Linked DNA regions of Caenorhabditis elegans. The protein of the gene in region 2 interacts with the protein of the main gene of each other region in a pairwise test. Each region holds a gene or a part of one and is shown on either strand. Other genes may lie near its edges.

Evidence for each region. The genes of interacting proteins can lie anywhere in the genome.
Region 1: the proteins of xbx-9 (region 2) and sma-3 interact in a two-hybrid assay, tested with the Caenorhabditis elegans proteins (one large-scale study listed by BioGRID).

The regions. Positions count from the first base shown.
Region 1 is NC_003281.10:6,860,418-6,865,746, forward strand, and holds sma-3 (Dwarfin sma-3), read right to left. Parts: upstream 3,552-5,329; 5' UTR 3,547-3,551; coding exon 3,408-3,546; intron 2,950-3,407; coding exon 2,858-2,949; intron 2,732-2,857; coding exon 2,657-2,731; intron 2,608-2,656; coding exon 2,519-2,607; intron 2,461-2,518; coding exon 2,396-2,460; intron 2,279-2,395; coding exon 2,193-2,278; intron 2,146-2,192; coding exon 2,050-2,145; intron 2,006-2,049; coding exon 1,947-2,005; intron 1,625-1,946; coding exon 1,372-1,624; intron 1,310-1,371; coding exon 1,229-1,309; intron 1,137-1,228; coding exon 1,056-1,136; intron 740-1,055; coding exon 674-739; 3' UTR 557-673; downstream 1-556. Other genes in the region: cra-1 (N-terminal acetyltransferase B complex subunit NAA25 homolog), read right to left, coding at 5,097-5,204, 5,278-5,329. UniProt on the Caenorhabditis elegans protein: Involved in TGF-beta pathway. Plays a role in male tail tip morphogenesis.
Region 2 is NC_003283.11:12,732,255-12,736,553, reverse strand, and holds xbx-9 (XK-related protein), read right to left. Parts: upstream 2,372-4,299; 5' UTR 2,302-2,371; coding exon 1,835-2,301; intron 1,749-1,834; coding exon 1,601-1,748; intron 1,340-1,600; coding exon 1,183-1,339; intron 1,129-1,182; coding exon 575-1,128; 3' UTR 513-574; downstream 1-512. Other genes in the region: dhs-21 (L-xylulose reductase), read left to right, coding at 2,993-3,050, 3,884-3,993, 4,045-4,299.

The DNA of each region.
Region 1 (5,329 bases), on a different chromosome or scaffold from region 2:
CATCGTTTGAAGAACTGCGAGACTACAGATAAAACCGTTTTGGCTACTGTAGAATGCAGGAATTCATCATCTGGTTTCACTACTGATGAGAAGCATACTGATAATACTTTCATGTGGAAAAGCTGGTCTGCAACTGAACCAGGACAGACCATCTTTGAAAAGTTAGTTACAGTTGCAAGTTGTTTTTTTTTAAATATGATTTCCAGAAGCATTGAATCTTGCCTTCAACTCTCAATTTCTCAATTCCCTGCTCGCAGTGAGCTGATCAATGACGTCTTCTGCAACTATGTAAAGCATCCAGAAAATGAAGGTGCATCCGATCTCTGGAACTATGGAGCTGTCTGTGGACGTTTCCCAGAATGGATCTAATAGTTAATTTTACGTATTGGATTTGTTATAAATAATCATTTGCTCAAAATTTTCGAGCATATTTTCAGAGTAAACAATTAAAAATCCCAAGAATTAGGGGGCGTTTTTGTCGTGACCGAAAAAAACTGCGAAATCATTCTGAGAATTTCGTTAAGTAAATGTTCGAAGAACATGACAACATTAAAAGAAATCTTCATAATTAAAAAGAACCAGCAAATGTAAAACATGTTACAAGTATCATCATTAGAGTAGGTAAATTCTGAATTCAGGTGGTTGCGAGAAGGAAAGCGTTTTTAACAAATCATTATGTCATTGAATTTGGTTCCATCAAGTTCGTCCTTGGAGTTTGCTTCATTTTTTGATCGATATACTGAAAATATTTCATTTTCACAGAAAACTCAAACAAAATAGGGTACTTTTCCGATTTCTGCCCCCAAAATGTTTTCGATATATTCATTAATGAAACGTTAACTTTTTTGTTATTTAGTATTGAAATAAACATTCACGTGAGAATTGAAATTGAAATATTGAACTTAAAAAATTGGGGGGGCAGAAATCGGAAAAGTACCCAAAATAGAAATATGGCTTAATTTTGGATGATATTTACAAAATGTACAAAAATTTTATAGAATATTTTTGATAATTTGATAAATTTCCAGATACGATTCCTTCTCAAAAAAACTTACAGCCAGTGGCACATTGAGCCGAAGTTCAAGCCAGCAAGGCGTGGATGTGACGTCTTGACGTGGATAATCTTCTCCCCAGCCCTGAAAATTTGTTTATCGAAGTTTCATTTGAAAATCTCACGATAAATTTAACAAGTATAAATCTACAAGGAATTCAAACATTTAGAACAAACCTTTACAAAAGAAATACGAATAAAACAGTGTTTGGAGAGTTCATTCAATCCATCGCTATCGTTGCACGACTGTTCCAACATCTTAATTTTTGACAATTGTTGAAGAATAGCATGAAAATAATTTTAAATTTTAAAAACCTCACTTGAAAAAATAAATTAAACTCAAAAACGCATAATTGACTGTGCGGTGGTATTCGGCAGACTTTGACCAGTGGCATGTTCATCATGAGATTCGTATTTTTGGATTGCACAAAAACTGGCATATCAGAGTTATTTGTAATCATAATATGCATTTGATCTTCTTTATTATCAAGCTGAATTCCTTTTCCAATATGCATCCGTGTGTTCTCAATTGTTCCATTTCGATTCACATTGGTTAATTGTCCAAGACATATTCTGAAATTTCCGGATTATTTTAATAAAGAAACCGGTAAGAATTATTATTATTCAGAACTTCTCGAAGTTAAAGCTTCGAATCAGCAATTTTCACGTTAATTAACTCGAAGTGTCCACTTTTTAATAACTATGATAATATTATAGAGAAGATATGTATTATACCGTATTAATGGAGGAAATTTAAATCAAACTAATAATATTTATATTTTGTAAGAACATTTTTTAGAAGTCCGACCGAAATCGAAAAAAACTAATTATTTTTTGGTTTTTTCACTTTTAAAATCAATTTATTTCTACTTTCGAATGTCTTTCAAAATCTTACCTTGTATTTGAATTTGATGGATTAGTATATCCGTCGACTGTAATGCTCAGATTCACTAGCTGAAACTCCAATTTTGTTTTGTTTTGAAAAATCAAAACCTCACTTTAAAAACTTCTCCAACTCTCGAATTCAACTCAAAATACGTAATTTGGGCCCAGGATTTGGGATGACGGAACGGTGGAGGTCGCTGGTGAACTTGCTGAAAATTATAATTTTTGCAAAAATGTGTATTGCAAAAAAACTAACCACTTCTCCTCCATCTTCTGAAAAAACCGACGGGCTCGGCGAGCTTGCACAAGATGCCGTTGAGCTTCCACTAGACTGCCAGATAGCTGCAATTTTATGTATTTTTCATTTAATTTCCCTAGAGAATTTTAAAGAGAGTTTAGTTGTTTTTTTTTAATAGAAGATTCTGATATGTTTAAACAATTTTTAGATCCAACGCTTACTGTTTGGAGATGATATTGGTTGTGGTGATGGCATTGAAGAATTTAAGCCTTGTGGTCGTGATAATCTGGAATTTTATTCATTTTTGAAATGTATTCCAATTTTAAACAACTTTCAGAACAAACCTCTGATAGTGATATGGATTAATGCAGATGTACATGGTTTTGGAACTAGATTCATATGGGTAGGAGCATGTATCAATTGAACGTAATTCCTGAAATGAACATTCAAAAATTTCAAATTAATATATCCAATTAACTTACATGAGGAGAACTTATATCCGGCCACCGCCATACTCGACAGTAAATCACATGTGGAAGACCTTTCTTATGGGATACCTGAAAAGCCGGAAGTTTGGCGTCAAAAAGTCGTTATTTCAAACCAAAGTGTTATTTTTGAAAGTTATCACAGTTGTCTGATTAGCGAACAAATTTACGTTAAGCAACCACAACGGCGCCACATACCTGTAACCGACCGTCTAAACTTTTTGCTATCGTAATGCATCTTGAGTTTGTACATGGGTTTGCTAGAACACATTCCAGATCTTCGAGGGTTCCTGGAATTTAGAATTTGAAATGGATCGGTTGAATTTCTTTTTTTTTAATATTTATGATCTAACTTATAAATAAGGTGCACTTTGATTCATGAATCGAAAAGGGTCATCGGAAAATGTTAATCATAATATTATATTGTATCCGTAACAATATGCTTAACATTCGGATGGGTCTCGCCGCGCCAATAGTATTTTCGAATACATTCGAAAATGTTAAGTTTGTTTTTTGGTGCTTTCTTCTTACTGTTTTTATAGTTTTTTGCAAGTTAAAAAAAATGAAAATCATAAGAAATCGTAAGAAAAATTAGACTAAGAGGAAGGAGGCTCAAATATTTCTACTGTAAATTTAAAGGTAATCACAAAAATAGTTTTGAAACTTTCATAAGCGCGTCGAGACCCTTTTTCAGAAATGTCCCTCCCTAAATTATTATAAATTCCTTTAAAAAATATATTTGACTAACCACATCCATTATTTTTCTTTTTTAATTTTTTCACCAATGCCTCAACAGCCTTCTCACACCATTTTTCTTCGTCTTCTCCAATTTTCCAACCTAAAAGCTTTTTGACAGCTGGACCATGCATATGCAGTAATCCGTTCATTTTGACTGAAATTTTGCTCTCATTTCAAAAAAACTAATTCAATAATTATTATCGATTTTTGTTTTGCGCGATAAGAAATAGTAACAGGTAACAGAAACAAAAAAAGTGGGTAAACTGAGCGGAAAATGAATGAGAGAAAGAGAGAAACAAGGCTAAAAGTGAATGTTTGAGTAAAGGAAATGATGAGATGATAAGTGATAACAGGGAAGGCGGAGGAGGTAAAGAGAGACTGAGAAAATGAAGATGAACACAAAGAAAACAAAAATGAATCGTTCTTTTGTTTGCACTTTTAAATTCTTTTTTCATGACATGACACCGTTCTTTTTAATTGAACAATTTGAGTTGGGATGAGGGATGTTCCAGACAAAACGTGGCAAGTTCTCACATTTTGGAAGAATGCCAAAATGTTATTTTCTTTTCTGATCAGAGAAGATTTCCATATATATTACATTTTAATTATTTTTCGAATATTTCTATTTCAACATTGTAGTGAATTGTCCAAAAAATTCCAGATTTCACGAAAATTTGTCACTTTACTAAAACTATTCAAAACTTTTTTTTTTAATCGAAGTTTTTATTATGATATTCGTTCATGGACTTTTCGAGTAGAAATTCCCACTGGCAATACTCCATTTAAAGGCAGAGTACTGTAGCGCCAGTGGGAATTTTGTTTAAATACACATATAATAGTTGCCACTCTTTGACATAAAATAAAAAATTTCAAAAAAAATTTTGAAAGGTTTAATTATGATATTCGGTCTTTTTGGCACCATAGGAATAGTTTTTAACACTTTCCCCACTGGCACTACTCCACCTTTAATCATCTCGAAAAAATATATGGATTTGAAAACATTGTCACTATGATCTCATGTTGTTTATGTCATTTGCTCAAAATGAATTTCTATCATAAAAATGTTGAATAACGTGAAATTGAAAAAGTATTTGCGAAACCCGGATGGAATCACATCAGACTGGGGCAGTGTTGGTGGTGACCTTTCCCCACGCCCTGCAACCGATATAAAATAGTGTCCGTTGTGTTGGGGGATAGATGTAGGTAGAATAAAGGTAAATGTGCCCTTGTGTTAATCTTTGCGTCTCTTCATGGCGCAACCCTCTCTCAATTTTCCCAATTTCTTAGTGCCTTTGCGCTTATTGGTCACATCGGTGACCGCTCGTTGAAATAGAATGAAGAGGGAACAGGGGACAAAGGATGGTTGGGGACACAGTTAGCAAGAAAAAAAAAAAAAGTCAGAGAGCAATTTATTCTTTCAAAAACATGAACATAGTGAGAGGGCGAAATAAAAACAGTTGAAATCGGTATTTTGGAGGAAGAAAAACGTCATCGGGGGAAGAAAGAAAAGGCGAAAGATTGATCTGTAGAGATCCAACGATGATGAACTCAAATGATTATGTTTAGAGATGGGGACAAACAATTCGGGGAGCTACTACAAATTTGAAAAAAAAAAGAACAAATTAATAAATAAGGAGCCTAAAAAATAAGGAGCCTAGATGAACAAAAAACAACGTCTAAATATTCTGAAACAAAAAAATTAGAATCTTAATTTGATAGTTGTGTGCATATCTTCACATGTATTGAGAAAAGATCTTTGAAGGCGAGAAGCAACTGGATTATGCATACCTTCTAATGCAGCTTTAGCCTGAAATATTTAGGTGTTGAAATTAGGTTTAAACTCTACATATATGTATAAATATATCATATATCTAACGTACCCCTCCAAGATCTTCTCCAATGTTACTCGGGATGTACTCATCTTCAAGTGCC
Region 2 (4,299 bases):
ACTGTACTTGAGAGAGCCATGGCCGCGGCCGCGACTGGCGCGTCCATTGTTTGCTCGATCACTCTCTCTTACTTTCATTTACTCTCTCAGATTTCAATTTCACTCATCTCTTTCATTTTTCCATCTTGTAGGTTAAGGAAGTACGGGGGGAAGTACCTAGTTACTGCCCCCCAGGTACTGACCACTGTCTCTGCACTCTTTGTTTATCAACACGGAGGTGAGGAAAACCGCTAGCTAAGCGGTGCCAGCATGTTGCAATAGGTAGCAAAAGTGAGTGTACACTGAGAAATGTGTACTTTTCTTTTTCCGCATTTTGACCTTTCTAGGAAATTGAGTACTTTTGGCGTATGTTAAGTGATACTTAGGGAGAGCATTAAACAGGGTTAGTTTTTACTAATTAAAAAAAAAGCTAAACACACATAATAAACAGTTATAATGAGTTCTAAATCATAACTTTACTGTCGTAATTATGCATTTACCGGAGTTGTTTTTCATTTTAACTTTTGAAATTTGTTAACAGGGAGTTTATTTAGTGAAAATGAAAAATTCAAATTAACTTAAAACTCTTAAGCTCTTAGTTCACTTGAGCTGCAGGATGTCCGTTATCATATGCCATTGATGGAGTATAGACAATTGTTGTTTGCATGTTTTGTGGAAGTTGAAGCATACCAGGAGCGAATCCGATTCCAGGATACATTGGTGGAGCTTGTGGATGACCATGAGCTGCACCATGAGCTGGCGAAGGTACTTGGTGGGGAATTGGCATGGGTTGAGGATGTTGAGCGACTGGAGCAATAGCATGATTAACTGGAGGATTTGGAGGTGTTGGTGGTGGTGGACTCTTTTTCTCTCCGGTATCCATTAGCAATGGTTGATTTTGGGTTGCGATGAAGACCTTGTTCTGTGTGGCGGTTGGATTTCCAGTTGGGTGATGTTGACGACGAATCCATTGATCAATGGCAAATCTTGATGAAACGGTTAGGAAGAAGGCAACTAGCATGAACAGGCTCATGAACAAACGAACAGTGTCAAATGTCAGAAGTTGAATTGCCAGTGCAGTGTAGTATACAGTTTTTTCATCGTCCGAGTTCCAAAGGTATGGCGCGAAAAGTTCGGCGATTTTCACATCTGAAAAGAATACGATAAAACCAATTAAAATTCAATTCAGTTGCAAAAACTTACAAAACTCAAACCATTGAGGAATATTCATTACAATTACAGCAGCTGCTCCAAAACCAAGACGGCTACGTGCATCATCGACAACTGGATCACCAGTCAGAACTGCCATGTTTGTTCCGGCTGCTGGTTTTGGTTTGCACATTAATCCAACACACAAGCACTGGAAAACATTTTTGATTTTCTATATTTAAATTTCATTTGAAGGTGGAATTGTTGAATTACTGTCAATAGATATGTGTAGGGGTGTAGAAGTAAAGTGCAAAACAATTACACTGAAAACGATCTTTAAATAGGATCACACCACTTGTTGGCTTCGGTTAAATTTTCTACTATTCTTTGGATTTTTTCACACTTTGTTTAATACCTCACTAATGTATAACTGGGCACTGATGTCCACCTTTAGAGATCAAAAATAGATTACCACTAGAAGCTCGGCAATGATTCCCACTGTGCACAAAAGGTAGGTAAAAAACAGTGCAGAAGCAGGAAGTGGGTTCCATTGGGATGCGATGAAATGATATGAACCAGAGAGTATAGCAGCAAAGAAGAGCACAGCAAAGTAAGATGTCCTGGAAAATATCGGAGGCATCAACTATTCATTTAACAAAAAATGTTATTCAAGATTTTTGCTGTGTCATTCTAACCATTTTCTTACCATGAATCACAAGGATTAAAGTTTTGTCTTTTCCTTGCAATTACAATCAACGCCGAGAGAAAAATCACAGATCCAATGGATGTAGTGAGGACTGCTGTAGTGTAAAACCAGTTGAAGAACATCAGAAAAACCATGTACCACCATCCATAAGCTCCAAGCATGATACTGTAGATAGCCAGTGCAATCTTGAACAGAGATGACAGTCCAAGTGGAATGTAGACAATAGTCAGAAAGACCTTCGTGATATCACGCTTCATTTTCAAAGAAAGCAGAAAGAAAACTGCGATGATTGAAACTTCAATTGCGGAGAGTCCAGCTCCAATTGGTCCTCCGTAAAATGCTTTCTTTGTGTAGAGTTCATCAGGAAAATCACAGCTTATCTTCACTTTTTTCTTCACAGTTGTTGAATTACAAAAAAGAGTGGTAAGTAAAGGAAGACCCGGGACTGGGTCCATGTCCGTCGACATGGTTACACGATCTTTATATCACTTCAATAGTTGGGATTTTATTGAAGCTGAGATTGAGAATAAGAAATGTGGCGAGTTGAGTGGCTAGATTGAACAGGTGAAATGCCATGTTGCTATGGTTACTCGTCACGAAGTTTCAGCTGTTCTTGGACGCAGATCTTGTGATATTGAAATTGGTTGTTGATGTAAAAAAAATTAAGACGGAGACACTAACGAAGCTAGCCAAAACAAACTTTTTACGGAAGGTTGAGCTTAATGTTAAGTGGGACATATACGTTTGATGGTACCTGAAACTACCAGGAAAGTATGATATTTTGCAAGTCTTTGAACTTTTGGGATCATTTTTGCTCTTGAACTCATCCTCTAATATATATCATAAGCAGCAAAAACAAAGTACTCGATTTTGCTGCTTATGATATACTATTTTTTGAAACGAGCGTTTTAAAGAAAATTGTGTACATTGTTTCGGTGCTCAATAGTTTCATTGTTACATACTTTGCAAAATGAAAGGGTTTTCCCTGTCGATCTCGAAATAGAAACCATTATGACGATCATCAATACACAATTGGACGCAGATTGTTAGAGGAATGGCATTGATAACAAAAATAGTCACAATATAAAAGTTGATCGTGTTGGGTAGAATGGGGTAGATACTACACATTTTCTGATATTCATATCATCTGACGAAACAATGCCCGCCAATTACGATTTCACTGACAAACGTATACTTGTCACAGGAGCAAGTCAAGGTAAGTCTTGAGATGTTGAAAAAGTTAAGATGGGTTGTTTCAATACAAACCAAATACACTTGTTTTGGGTTCCATTTAACAAATATGAAATTGAGATAGCTCACTACAGGAAATAGACTTGATATTTAGACAGAAAGTTATGTTGAGATAAGTTTTTGTACCACTCGGAGTTGGTGCCAACTTATTGCCCAACTTTTGACCTATAGTTGAAAACTTCACGGAAAACGTCAAATCTCTTTTCCGACGATTGTTCTATGTTTTGAGTTTAGATATGTTTGCAAGGTTTGAATTGAAGTTGACCAGGTTTTCCCTGGTCTAGTATAAGTTTATTTGTAGTTTGAAGTAAGGAAATGTTAAAAATTATCTGCTCAATTAAAAAAAACCATTAAACATTTGGAGCCACTGAATCAGTTTTCTGAAATCTCATGAAGATTTGTACTTTTTAAGTTTTCAAAATGTTTAATCCATATTAATTTAACATTTCAAATTTAGGCCAATGTGATAAAAGACCGATGGTCTCTCTGATTACTTCCGGTGTAATTATGATCTAGTTCAAATGGAGAGGAAAACGTTGATATACGATAATATGATAACACTATAATCTTTAATCAAAAATTTGTTGTATCATCAACATTTTATCATTCCGTTTGAAAATTATAATTATTTTACGATTATGTTTGAGGAAATTTCTGGCATTGAAAACAAGAGTACATCCTTCCTAGTCGGTAAAAAATATATTACGCGAACAAAGCTAAAAATAGAATAAAAATCGTTCATGAAGACTTCCGATGGGGTGATTGTGAATCATACATCACAATTTATCACATTTGCAGGAATTGGAAAAGAAATCTGCCTTTCGTTGGCCAAAGCTGGAGCGCAGGTTATTGCATTCGCGAGAAATGAAGCAAATTTGTTGAGTCTTGTCAAAGAGACTACTTCTTTGGTAAGTGAAAATATAAAATATTACACCAATCTGATTAAATTAATATTTCAGAGATATACAATAATTCCAATTGTTGGAGATGTGAGTGCCAATGAAGAGGTCCTTTTCAAACTTATCGTACCACATTTCCCAATTCATGGTCTTGTAAATAATGCTGGAATTGCAACAAATCATGCAATTGGACAAATTACTCAACAATCAATTGATAGAACATTTGCAGTCAACGTAAGGGGACCTATTCTCATTGCACAATTAGTTGCTAGAAACTTTGTGGATAGACAAATCAAAGGATCAATTGTTAATATT